2 linked regions of the Tribolium castaneum genome follow. The protein of the gene in region 1 interacts with the protein of each later gene in a pairwise test. Links are inferred from orthologs where the notes say so. Each region holds a gene or a part of one and is shown in the gene's direction. Other genes may lie near its edges.

What was found.
Region 2: the proteins of Ubx (region 1) and tup interact in a protein complementation assay, tested with the Drosophila melanogaster proteins (2 studies listed by BioGRID). The link is inferred for Tribolium castaneum from reciprocal best matches to the Drosophila melanogaster genes Ubx and tup.

What each region holds. Positions count from the first base shown.
Region 1 is NC_087397.1:7,098,811-7,106,397, reverse strand, and holds the start of Ubx (ultrabithorax), read left to right. Parts: upstream 1-2,711; coding exon 2,712-3,348; intron 3,349-7,587. UniProt on the Drosophila melanogaster protein: Sequence-specific transcription factor which is part of a developmental regulatory system that provides cells with specific positional identities on the anterior-posterior axis. Binds the consensus region 5'-TTAAT[GT][GA]-3'.
Region 2 is NC_087396.1:24,299,345-24,306,131, reverse strand, and holds part of tup (tailup), read left to right. Parts: intron 1-4,278; coding exon 4,279-4,471; intron 4,472-4,735; coding exon 4,736-5,043; intron 5,044-6,787.

The sequences.
Region 1 (7,587 bases):
AGAACGTTAGTTATGGGTCCAGCTTCTCGAACGAAGTTTTATCAAAATACTAGTCATTTAATTAATTAATCGGTTTTCAAATTTTTCACCTAACGCATCAATTCTGAAGTGTGAACTGTCTAAGGACTTTAACGATTTGCGGTGGTAATAAATTTTTCGCTAGGTAAATAGACTTTGTCAGTGAAAGACGTCGTGGCCGCCATTTTGCACACAATGACAAAGCTTGAAAGCTCCGTTTTCTCTATTAAAAAGTCTTGGCATTTGAAATAAATATTTCAGCGGCACGTGTGCGTTGAAATAAATTTCGTTTTTGAAAACCATCCACATAACTGTTTATGTAATGGCTCCATTATTATTCACAAGGTTTATAGTTGATTAAGTTAGCAATGTAATTCTGTGGGACGTGTTTTACATCAATATTTTATCTATTTTATCTGTATACTTGCGTAAACAAAACATGTTTCTCCTTACCTATATCTTGGCGAATAATCGTAATAATTCCGGAAGCCGTCCGCTGATCGTTTATTTGAAGAATCTGTGTTGTATAGTCACTTAAAAATAAATAAATCTCGGAATGAGAACCATGCCGAAACATAAAATTAATTATAATTGTTTATGGCGTTCTAATGTTATGTAGATTGGTTTTATTGCAACATAAAATTAGTACTTAAGCAGGAAAAAGTATCAAATTATAAAATTATCACTCAGGAATGACTTATCTTTGGTATAAAACACGTAGAACAAACCTACCGGCTATTATAGTAGCTATTATGTGCTCGTAAAAATACAATAAACTTTCGTTCGGCCAAATTCATCCTTATGTCGAGAAGTGTTTGGAAAGTGTCAAGTTCGGCACTTTCAATATGCAAGGAGGTAAGACAGCAATAAAAGTTGATTTTATTACGATTTGAGTGATCGTAAATGTCACCTACGACCATGGCAAAATTATGACACCGCCACTCCATAAAGTGCCAGGAGCGTGCCAATGCCGTAAAATTTTTACTACTGGTTTGTGTAAACTGTAATAATCTGGCCTTTTTCCGTCCCCGCCCTCGGAACCTCAACCATTCAGTAACGACAAGAGGATAAGAGCAAAAGGGATTTATTTAAACACCCGGACGGGCTTTTTCCTATTTTGTTATTGACGACTCATTGTAGTATATACTACCTATTATCAGGATAACATTAAATTATTATTGGTTGTTAATAATTTTACTGTTTACTGAATAGAAATTTATTACATTATTATTTGTTTTTATTTGTTTGAAGAAAATATTTATACATACCTAGATCCTAGATCTACTATTGTTGGGAGATTTTTGTAGTTAGAATAATTCCAGTAGAGACACTTCTATAATTTTTTTGAACTAATTAATCCGTTTGGAATGGGGTACGAGTATTTTTCGATGAGATTTGATTTGGATTAGGTATGTGCACGAAGAAAAAACGGTCCAAAATAATTTAGTTTTATTAGTTTGAATGTTTTTCGGGCAGTAAAATTTACAAAAGCACATTCATTCAAATGCAATTTAAGTTTATTGTATTTTGGGAACACAGAAAAGTAGGTACATTAAGGTAGTATATTAAAACCCTTACTCGAAAATGAGCAACAATTAACTTTAGCTTTGGTTTTTATACCGACATGGTACAGTGTAAGATGAAGTCAAAAAAGCGAGAATGTTTTAATAGGTACCTGAAGCAGTAACAAAGGGCTGAATGCATACCGCTCTTTATACAGCCTAAAAACATTTAAAAAAATGGAGTGTTTCTTTGATTTTAACTTGTTTAGCGGTTGGAGTCTGATTTGTTGCCTAAAAAATCAAGTGCGATGAAAAGTTACAGAACAAGATCTTATCTACCCGTCGTCAATAAATCTTACTGTTTTAGTTGAATATTAATATAAAATTACGTACTGTTTTTAGAAATTGTGAATTTAATTGTTTTAACAAACCAAATAGACATTAAAATTGTGATGCAGAATGCAAAAAAATAATAAATAAAATAAGCTTTCCTTTTTGTACTTTAACGGTGAATATATTGAGGGTTTGGCAGCGGAATCAGAGTATTTTAAATGTAGCGTTTACTTTTCGATGATTTTGTTTATATTGGTGGTGTGATGGTCGTTTTATCTTTTATTGGCAATTGATGTTGCTCGTTTCGGCAAGAGTGTCGTTTTGAAAGGTTGAGCAATTGTCCGAGAGCTGGCGCCACGCGCCTCCCCTCTTCGTCTCGTTGGGGGCCACTTGCGCAATGCTTGAAGGCTGTGACGAATTCAATTGCTATTGGTTCATGTATGATCCCTTCCATTAGAGCGTCTTCGTGTAGAAGCACGTGCTCTAGGGGTTATTACGGCCTTCGCGACCCTTCTGGAGGAAACCTAGCCTTTGGAGAAGCCGGTCAGGCGCTAATTAGGTGCGACCGTGTCCGATCGGCCGACAATACAGGTAGCTGCAATAATGAGCCGCGTGCTCGTCCGGAGTGGGGGGAGAGGGGAGCGATGGGCCGGGATGTGTGGGCCGGAGCAGACTCCGGAGCTCCAGTGGGTTCCCATCCGCGAGCAAAGTAGCCAACGTGTGCATTCCGGAGCGAGCTGCTGTGTGGTGTGCTCGTGCGAGCTCTTATCACCTTATCACTCTCGCTAATAACAATAATAATAATCGTGTGACTGTCATGTCCGGTTCCGGTGTCGAGTGACTTGTGCCGCCCCCAGCATGAACTCTTACTTCGAGCAGAGCGGCTTCTACGGCAGCCACCACCACCAGAGCGGGTCGGTGGCGGGCCACCACCACGAGCAGTCGGCGGCGGCGGCGGCGGCCTACCGCTCCTTCCCGCTGTCGCTCGGCATGTCCCCGTACGCCTCCAGCCAGCACCACCACCACCACCTGCAGGCGCGGCCCCCGCAGGACTCGCCGTACGACGCCTCGGTGGCGGCCGCCTGCAAGCTCTACTCCTCCGAGGGCCAGCAGAACTCCAACTACTCCTCCAACTCGAAGCCGGACTGCTCCAAAGGCAACGCCGACCAGAACGGATACGCCTCGGTGGTGGCGGCGGCCGCGGTCAAGGACGTTTGGCAAAGTGCGACTTCTGGCGGTGGCGCTAATCTCACGAACAGTTTGACGGGGCCGGTCAGGCCGGCGGCATGCACGCCGGACTCCAGGGTTGGCTACGGGTCGGTCGGGCTCGTCGGCGGAGATCCGGCCTCGAGTCCGGGGGCGGCCGCAGGACGGACGGGCAACTCGCTCTCGTGGAATAACCCCTGCAGTATCAACTCGACCTCTTCGCAGCCCGTTGGCACGCAGATACACCAGCAGACCAACCACACGTTTTACCCCTGGATGGCCATTGCAGGTTGGTGATAGGTCTAAGCCTACGGACTCCTGCTGCGGACGCTATTTGCAGGAAACGCGCTAACTCCGGCCGAATCGCACGCCGTTCAAACGTGCACCACACTGTAACATTTCAAAAGCACAAACCAAAAATGTTTCATTCATTGCTGTGACACTAAAAAAATGTCATTTCAAAATACCAAACGTGAAAATAATAGTCGTTTCTAAACACATAGTGCGAATCAAAAGTCAAGAATAAATTTTTTTGGCGGGAGATTTTTTTAAAAATTTCGAGCAAACTGTTTGTTTCCGGGTTTTTATTGTACCTACTTTTTGGACCACCACGGTTCAAGTTACGATTTTATTAACTAGTTATATTTAAAGACAGTATGTTTAGTTACGACTTTTTTTATTTATATCTCCATTAAAAAAATAATAGTTAATAATAATTAATTAAGAAACGAACTTTTTACATAATAAATGTTCTAAATAGTTTTGCCGAAAAACAGATTTTTAGTAAGTTTGTAAACGATTTTTTAACTGAATATCTTTCTAGTCGTCCGGAAAATGATTTATATTAATGATTAAATAAATTATTTATCTGTATCTATTTTTCCTAAATTTCTGGTGGGTATTCTTTGATTCAAAAATAAATTTCTTGGCACAATATGACGAACCGTTTTATTTTATTATTTGTGATTCATCTTCGTCGTCTGCTTCCTCTATTTTCTAAAATTAAAATTTTATATAATTTCAGTCGATAGTAAAGTACGTTAAATTAGTAATTTATTTGGGAATGTTAAAGTTGCCGACGTACAACACCATAAATTTTGTTTATTTTTTCAATGATTTGTCATTCATAATTTGTGCCTTATTTATTGCCGCTGGAACTACTTAATTATCTATTGCAAAATAAAATAAATTTGAATAAACAAAATTTTTTGTGCTAATTGTTGCCCTTTGGCCCGTGCGCGCGATGTCCGCACCTCAAAGTTATGTAAATGTTGAACCTGCAGCGAAGTCAAGTGCGTGTAAAATCAGGGTTGAATTGCCACATCTCTGTCCCTCAGTCGAATTTCTCTGTTCTCGTCCTCGTCGAACAAATCGGGTCCTTGTCAGAGCACGAGGGACGATCAGCTGTTCGCCTATTTGGCCGTCTAGACGCCTTTGAAATGAGCACGTCCTATATTCCCGTAAAAAAATCGTCCGCTTTGACCAAAATAATCCGTGTTTTGAGTTCGGCGTTCGTAATTCTCAAGTCTTGGGTCAATGGAATATAATTTGGTTAAGGTCGTTTCATATTTCGGGAGGACATCGCTAACGAGCCGACAAAAAATTTCGTTCGGTCGTTATTGCGAGACGCTCTATTCATACGCTGGAGAGTAATGAGTTGATGGCGAACTCTAATGTTCAAAGGTATATCTTTTCGAAATTACTACAACGTCGCTGAAGAATTATTGATTGAAGAAGCGGCTGTGGTTTTCACGGGCCGCCGATTGCTTAAATTGTTTTTATTTATAGTTTGATTTATTAGCGCTATTGCCGCCAACGCACGATCTACTACACTTATGTTATCGCGCTATACAGGGAGGACGATTAAAAGCGTGTTCGGAGATGATTCCGACGGATTTTATTTATTAGAGAAACTCGTATGTCAAAGTTCAATCTTCTATAACAACATCATAAATTCGCAAAATTTGCATAAAGCTACAACGTTCTTTTATTTTATTTCATTTTATTAACATAACAGGACGGAAATGGGAAAAGTACCAAAATTTTTCAAATTTTTCCTGACTAAAAAAAATTGGCAACTGTAACATGATCCCATAGTGTTGGGCACGTCACTCAGATGGCGCCCTCATCCACTTTCATAATTTAACCAGAGGGGTCCGTCAGGTACAAGGGGCCGACCCTCGCCTGTTCAAAAAGTGCCATTCAATATGAGCGCTTCCTTATTTTTCGTATAAGACTTTGAGAGCGTTCCACTCTGTATATTTCCTCATTCACATGATAATTCCTTCGTCTACCGCGCCGGAGTCCCGGACTTGTCCCGAATTGTGCCGGACTCAGTCCGGATGAGCGATGACGTATTACCGTGGCCCAGTCAGTTACACCCCCTTTTGTATTTTGCTCGCTACGGACCGCACCAAAAACATTTGCTTGTTTCTTCCACCAAGGTATTAGCGTAGGTCAGGTGTCTCATTCGGGGATGTTTCACTGTTTCTCGTTCGACTGTGACGAAATCGGCACCGATCTGAAACTGATAAACGGCCAAGTGAGAATGATTCATAGGTGGACGAAAATGCACCCGACGGGGGTTGCTTTCGGACGAACGCGCCTTCTTGCCTCCACATGAAACCGCATCGATTTTTGCCGTTTCCGGAAACGGCAGTCAAAAAGGGCTAATTTTAAAGCGTCGTCTTAGTGGGTGTTTGAGGAAAATTAGATTGTTATGCATGAAGTGTTTGTATTTATGGTTGCCATTTCTCTATTTTTAGTTTATTGATCATTATATTTATATGGATATATATTGATATAAATAAACGCTGATTTATGGAAAGTTGTTATTCATTTTTAGCAAAAATGAAACTAAAATTGCATATTGCGTGTGGTTACTACATAAATTTCGTATGTTAATACGAAACTGTATATCGCTTTAGGAGACAAGTTGAAAGTATGTCTTCTTAGACATTGTGATTCATTTTTAATTAATGGACGCAGCTTATTTGTTTTTCTCATTAATTATTATTAGAAACGTAGAAGAAGTTGGTAGCTGGCAATTTTTGCTTTGAAAACTCTAAAACAATTCATTAAATCGTGTAAAAAATGTAAATTTTATTTTAACTAAACCAAGCTTACACCTACTACTGGAATTATAGTCCAGAAACAACTGGCAGTAGTTGATATAAAAGTGTACAGTCACCCGAAATGAAAAAGACGCGTCCATAAAAAACACGCCTACCGTACATTTTTTAATCAGATTTGATCAAAAAACGCTAAGATCCAGAAAATAAATCTAAATTGGTGGCATTTTGACAAAATGGGCTTAAAAATTACAAAAATAAATTGAAACTTTCTCTCCAAGTTGTTTGTTTTTGGGTAAGATTTCGTCAAGAGTAGACTGAAAGATGACAAAATTCGGTCGCAAAAGGAGTTATTTTTTACTTTTTTAAAGCCTTTAAATACGGTTTTTTATTTATTTAGGTAGGTACTTCCAAAATAAACCGAGCCAATAAAACACAAAATCTGAAATTCAATTCATTTATCATTTTGATGCAAAAACATTATTCCGTAAGAATTGTGAAGAATAAAAATAATTGTGGAAGATTTTAATTAATCTTCAATTAATCTTCAAATGAATTTGCAAACAACATTATTTTTTGGGTGTTGACACGTCGCTACTAATTTTAAAATAATTGGTTTATTTGTCATTTGTCCCAACCAACAATTTCCAAAAAAATCCTCAATCATTTCAAAGGATGATAGGTTACGCGTTTTGGACGCGTCATTTTCATTTTGGGTGACTGTACATCAACTTAATTTTTTGTTGTGTTTGTTGAATGTATTTTTCTTTGACGAACTTAAGTGGAAACATCGTAAATAATAAAGGAGCGCCGGTTTCTTTCGAAATATGTTTAGCAGTGTTTAGTTGTTTGTTGTAATTTTTTGTGTGAGTTCGAGTTTCGTTTCGCTAATTCGTGGTCGTTTATCTGTCGATGGATCTCTGGGTTAATAAATTAAGTAATAAAAACTCATCGAATATGTTAACGAAAGCGCGTGGGCCGGAATTTCGTGGGTGAATCCCTCGAGTTTATCTAAACTCGTGTCAAATACCGTATCCGTGTAATTCCGACAAAGCCAGAAGCTGCGAATCGAAGTGGAATAATAAAATTACTGTCCGTAATGGAGCAGGTATCATAACAAAGCTATTACTCCGCCTTTATGGCATAATGCTGAAGAGTTGAATGAAGATAGTACTCATTGAGGTCACGGTGGTCTCTCATGAACTGCAATTATCAAATCTACACAGCAAACACACAAATCTGGCCATAACTTAGCTCTCCGGTCATGAATAACAAGTTGAGAGTGCTCACAGTGGCAACTGCGCCAACTATTTTAATATTTTCGTCTAGTAATTAAGCCATTAATCAATGGTTTTTGTCCGGTGGTGATTTACATCTCGCCATAGAATTTCATCTTCGAGCCTAAATCCCGTATTAATTTTTCTCCTCGTAGAAAACACAGGCCGATAATTATGTTG
Region 2 (6,787 bases), on another chromosome or scaffold:
CTCTCCTTTTGGACGTTTGGAGTCTCGAACAGCTCATTAGTGACTTTTCTGATTTGCATGTTGGCCTGAAATGATAGTCTCCTACCTGCGCTCGAATAAATAAACTCCAACATGTCGCTAATTGTTTACTTTATCTTAACTTATGATCTCCGAATTGTCCACATTCCCGACGAGCCGACTCCACTCCGTTCGGCACTCTTTTCTTTATAACCCCATCACCTACGATGCCTGCAAATGATTGCCGTAAATCCTCACCTACACCCGACCAACACAAAATTGGGGGTTTTAGTACTGACAAAACAAACGGGTCCACAACGATTTTTATGTAATTATTTAGTCTAAGATAGACATTTTCACAGGGTTTTTCGTCTGGAAACAGCTCCGAGCTTTCGCATGAAAATGCAGCGATTTACATTTGGAATACATTATTATAATTCAAGTGTTCCAGTTTTGTAAGTCAAGTGTAAACAATAATAAGGTAATCCAGTTTAATACGTAACCACAACCGAATTGTAAATTGGTTATTTGTAATTAATTACAATTCCGCTTTGAAACAATATCATATTTTTGTTACAAATTAATAAAAAAAAAACTTTTAATAAAATTATACAAAAGTTCAGACGAGCTTTATTATGTAAAATTTCATGCTTATAATTCTTATTTAGGTGGCTCCTAGGTCTTAGCTATTTTGCATAATCTTGGAAAAAATAAAGTTTTTGAATTCATATCAAAAACTGAAGTCCTAGACTAAAAGTAAATGAATTAAACACGTCATTTTTATTAATAGCCACATACCAAAAGCAATTAAAATTATAATTATGAATGGAGGTAAGCACTCGGAAAGAATATTTATTTACCTACAACAGTTTCACAATTAACGATCATCTTTATTGTTCATCTTAAGTGAAGCAATTTAAGCTTTATCTTAATTTATGCAACAATTATATTCATATTAGTGGTTGCTTATTTTTCGTTAATTTTATTCATTATTCTCCAAATAAATTTGGCTTAGACACAGGCTGTAGTAAGTTAGTAAATGTTAATTTCCTTGCTTGAAGCCAAAAATGTGCATTTTGACTGAAAAACGTGTTGTTTGCTGGTCCATCCTGTATATAAATTTCTCAGTTTGTGGCGCTTACTCATGGCGTGTAATTGCCTTTGGTTTTTCGCGAAATAGCCGTTAAATTCATAATCGGCACCGGTTTTTGTGCGGTAGTAATTGCAAATTAAATCCTTCCCATTTTCGAACGTGATCAGCAGAATGTGATTTTTTAATTTTGCACACATTGCGGCGCTGTTAATTGTTCATATGCCAATTTAATTAGTTATTTTTGTTGGAGATGTGCAACGTAACCGGTGTAAGCTGTAATTAAACCATCCACTCACTATAAATATCGTTCCTTCAAGGAGAAGAGACTTACGAAACTCACTCTTGTAAATGAATCTATTCTATTATGTATTATTAGCGTGGCGGATGACTTTGCTTTTTCCCTCATACTTGCGGCTTTTTTACTATTTAAATTCAACGATTTGTGGCTAATGCTACGAGAAAACTTCCTGCATTGTTTTAATTAGTGCCAGGTAATCAAGAAGTGTATGGCGGACAAATTACTGCATCAAGCGCGCATTTCGAAAATTATGCAGTCTTTTGTGTTTTGTGTTCACCCTGTATTTGAAGATTCCTTCAAACACGTTTCTAAGATTTTTATGATAATTAGATAGATCTTAAAATCTTTATTAATAGAAAGAAGTGCGTGTTCGCAATGTAATTGCGCGCTTAATAGTCGTATTAATTAAGCATTATGGTATGTACACATAATAATACCTCCAAAGTAATCTCTAGATTTACTTAAAATATGATAAAACTAAAATAAAAATCCAGTTACCCAGTTATTTTTTTATATTTTTTCTTGTGTGAATTAAAAGCCACACTTGTAACAAAATCTCAATTGAAGCAAATGATAAAAAAATAAAAAATCCAGAAAATTGCAAAATTGCAGCAATAGTTGTGTGTTTCTCTGATTTGGCAAAATGAGCAGCAAACGTCCTGTCCACAATTTATTGAATCTTGGCTTCCGTTCCACCGGAAATGGCATTAGCTTTGTGCTTTGAGAAATTCCTTGGTCCTAAATAAATTTTCGCGCTAGATCAATCGCTGTTGGTCCTAATGTAAGATCCGCGTTAACAGAAGTCATCTAAATATTAGTGGCGGCAACACGTGTTTCCATCAATATTTACTGGCGGAGTGGAAAAGCGACGATGCATTAACTCTGCTTGTATGAATGTTTATTTCTGTTAGTGTTGCTGTCAACGCGTTAAATGCATCACATGAACACATAAACACGCAACTTGCTCTCTATGTGAAATTCCTGCTAGCCTGCCTCACATCCATCATACGTAAACTAACGCCAGCACTTGGGAATTTGATTTATTCGGGGTGAGCCTTTCGCCTGCTGATGATGATGATGATGATGGCTTGAAAGTTCGACGAACGACGGGATCGTGAATGGGTCAAGGTTTGCGAATGAAAAAAAAAAAGTGTTTTTCACAAGCCCACCTGTAACTCGTCGGTGGTCAGGGGGCTGTCTGGACACCCCGCAGTTCGCACTGGGGTGTTAATAGGCACCGTCTCGCCGACTTGCTACCGGATGCCAGCTTTTCTGACACCGCCACTGACTTTACCTGGGCAATTAGCGCCCAAACGGCTACACTCATCTCTGTTTGCAGACACTTTATAGGGCTCCATTGTTTACCTGCTCTACCACCCCTGATCACACGAATTAATACCACCAAACCTCCCCCAAATTATTCAGATTGATAAAACTGGCGCCGAAGCTTTGCCGGCGATTTATTACTTCTGGCACAGTCATTTGCTTATTTTTGGTATAGGCCACCTCAAACCAAAATTTGGAGGAATTTTTGGTATCAGTTACTCTGAAGCAATAAGAATTTTATTTGAACCCTCTAGAAAGAGTAAAAAATGTTTGCCATCAGTTGTTATACTCTGTTTTTTTCGAATTTATCAAAAGAGGAAAAGCGTTAATTAAACTTAAACATCCACCATTCGTTTGTGAGTTGTTTTAAAAATTTGCCTTCTTATTCTTATATTATATTATATTATATTATATTCTTCTTCATCTTCTTCTTCTTTATTCCACTAGGTTTTCCGCAAATTATCTGTTGCTTAGTTGTAATAAATCGAAACGGGGTTTGCTCTGAATGTTACTTAAACTCTTAAGTTAACTGTATTAGGTAAAAAATAAAACTATAGTAGATAATCTGCTTTTTAATATCAATAATTCACCTTCCATACAACTTGAAACAGTTATTTAATAAACCAGTTTATTAATGAAGGCGATCAATAAACTAAACTGTTTAAAGCACGAACGAGCGATAGCGAGTGAGTGCCTTTAATAGTTGAGTTTATTAATTGCCCATTATCAAACAAATTTTTTTTGACCGTAAACTTTTTTTGTGACAAAATTGGAAATTAATTACAAACCAAAACCAGTTTCATCTTTTTCATCGCACAACAATTACGAATTATAATCATTTTTGACAATTTCGGAAACATCCGAAAAATATAGTAAATCTTGACGTTTAGAACAAAAACAATGTATTTGTTCCATTTTTAAATTTGAATAATTGTAATACCGTGCGTTCAAAAAGTCGTTAAATCAACTCTTGCTGTGGAATTTAGATTGACAGATTTTTATTGTCTTTGACAGATTATCGTTTTATTCTGTTGCGATTTTCTCCAACGCCAATATTTTCGTATGTAATAATCGTAAGAAATCAACATACGTCTAAAATTTCACAGCAAGGTTGATCCAAAGACTTTTTGAACGTGCTGTATTAATAAAATTATTATAAATAATGATAGGTACATTATTAAAATGTATGATGATAGTCCTCATTGATTTTTTATTTGTATGAATATAACTGGTTGTTTATATTAAAATATCATCAAAATTATTAATATAGTATTAATACAGTAAAACCTCTCAACAACGGACACCGGTGTGGAATCTTAAATTGTCCGTTGTAGAGAGAATTTTTTTACATTATTTTCCGAGGCTTTTGTTACGATTCTACAGAAATGTCCGTTGTGAGGAGGATGTTGCTGTATATCCTTTTTGAAACAAGATAATAATGGTTTCAAAATATTGAAGGACTTTTGAGGGGATACTTTTTTATTAAAGTAGTTAACAGTGAGTGATTTTTGATTTTAAAAATAGGCTTTCGCAAATTTTTTTAAGTAGTTTATTTGATTTCCAGAAAAGCCCCGCCGGCTGAGCCACTGCGTGGGGTGCGGTGGCCAGATCCACGACCAATACATCCTCCGGGTAGCTCCTGACCTGGAATGGCACGCAGCTTGTCTAAAATGCCAGGAGTGTCGACAGTTCCTTGACGAATCCTGCACATGCTTCGTGCGAGATGGTAAAACCTACTGCAAGCGAGACTATGTGAGGTTTGTAAAATTAAACTAAACACAACACAACAATTTTCCCTTCATTGCTTTCCTTTTTGCCACCAACAAGACCTCCAAAGTCGTTGTTTATCCACCCACCGCAGCTGCTGCTTATCAAAGTCAAATCAGCGGTGATTTTGGCACTCCGGTGGCCCATATGTGACTTTTCCCTCTTAAACAAACCGAATCTCAAATTACACACGTCCTGACAGAGTTCTTGCCAACCACACACAGTGGGTCAATTTTCTTTTCTCGCATTTCCAGGTTGTTTGGGGCGAAGTGCGACAGGTGCGGGTCGTCGTTTAGCAAAGATGATTTTGTGATGCGGGCAAAAAGCAAGATTTATCACATAAAGTGCTTCAAGTGTTGTGCTTGTTCACGACCGTTAGTACCTGGAGATGAGTTCGCGTTAAGAGACGGTGGAAATTTGTACTGTAAGGAGGACCACGACCACATGGAGAAGACGTCCATACCAACAACGCCACATTTGCCCTCCACCGAAAGTAATAACAACACCAGCTTGAGCAACAACAATCACAACAGCAATTCCACGGAGCTGGGCTGCATGTCAGGTAGGGATTTTTGATTTTTTATTTTACAGTTTTATTTAAAAAGGTTTCAGTTTAAGAATTTTTAACAAAGAATACTAATTGACAACAAAATTAAACAAAAACTAAGAAAAAACAATGATCATCCTTTAGAAAATTTATTTAAGAGCTTTTTCAGTGTCTTTTTCGTCTAGAATTTTTTGTTGATAGTCTTAAATCCATTGAAACATAGAAAAATTCTTTTTGGTATTTTCTTTAAATTCGATATTATTTGAAAAGTTGTAAAAGTCGATTATTTTTTCGACTTACGTAAAAATAACTCTTTACATAATATACGTGCTCGAAATTCAAATGCGCTTCAGTTTGATGTTTTAATTCTATTCTAAAAATTTACAGCGAGTTACAACGAAAAAATGCGAATAACCAAATTTGTTAAAAATGTTGTTCCCATTATTTTTGTATGATAAAACTCCCCCTGTTTATAAATTGACATTTCTGAAGTAAAAATAATAAAAAACTTGAAATCTTGAGCAAATATGCTGTAATTTTATTTTAGTGTTTAAAGTACTCGAATTTAAAGTTTTCGAATAATTCGCGAAAGCAAGTCAGTTTCCACTGCATTCCTTTTAGAAGTTATGTCTTTAATACTCGTACTTACTTATTACTTAACAGACGGTAGAAGACGGTATTTAAGATTTGCAAGGATTTTTCCACAATTTTGTGATTTAAGAATATAAATTGTTGAGTTCATTTTATTTTATTTTATTTACCTTACAAAAACTTTTATTCTGCTGCGGAATATTTGAAATGTGACTTGATTGATTGTAAGTGTTATCATTAGTTATTAAAATTCTATTTTTTTGTCTTTTTTTCTCAAGTATTTTAGCGAAAACTGTTATACCTAGTCGAACCGAAATCAGCATTTGAATTTGTTTCTACCTTTCGTTATAACTAAAATTAATTTATAAAAAATACTAATATCTAACAATAAAAAAAATATGAACGATTTCATGATTTTAAGTGCTATTTTAAAACAACGATGTTTAATGATGTTTTTAGTAAAAATTTATAATAAAATTGTTACCTACTACCTACTTATTTGAAGTTTTAATTTTACTTAGTTAATTATTTACAAAATTGTGTATAATTATTGTTTTTGAGATATCATAAAAATATACCTACTTTTAACAGATTAACTCTGTACAATATAAAGCGTCCGGCAAAAGTATGTACTTTAGTCTTTTTTTTACCTAAACTGTTTATTTTAGTTAAATCTACAAGTTTTTTTATATGGCTTCTCTGTGTCTTTGGATCCAATCATTTCTCATAACTCCTGGCATGGTTAACAAATAGAAAAAATAAAGATGTTACATTTTTAAAACGTTGTTTCTTTTCTTTTTCATTAAAAATTATCTACACTCATTATTATGTTTGATGCAATTTTTTGTTTATTAAAAGAACTATAAATCATATAGTTAATAACGTTAAGAAAAATAAAGGCAACGATAAAGAAAGTAACGAATGAATAATAATAAATAATAAAACTTTCATCAGAAATACTTTAATGTTTTAGATATGAGTAATTTAAAGCCAGATATTAAAAATGCACAAAAAAGCGAACAAAACAGTACATTTTAATTACTCTGGAATATATTTGCGTTTATTAATACAGTACATAAGATAGTAAAAAAAAAATTGCTATTTTTTCATGGTATTGCATTTTTTTCTCTCTAAGCGTGTGAATTTATCCGAATTTTTCTACCCTTTT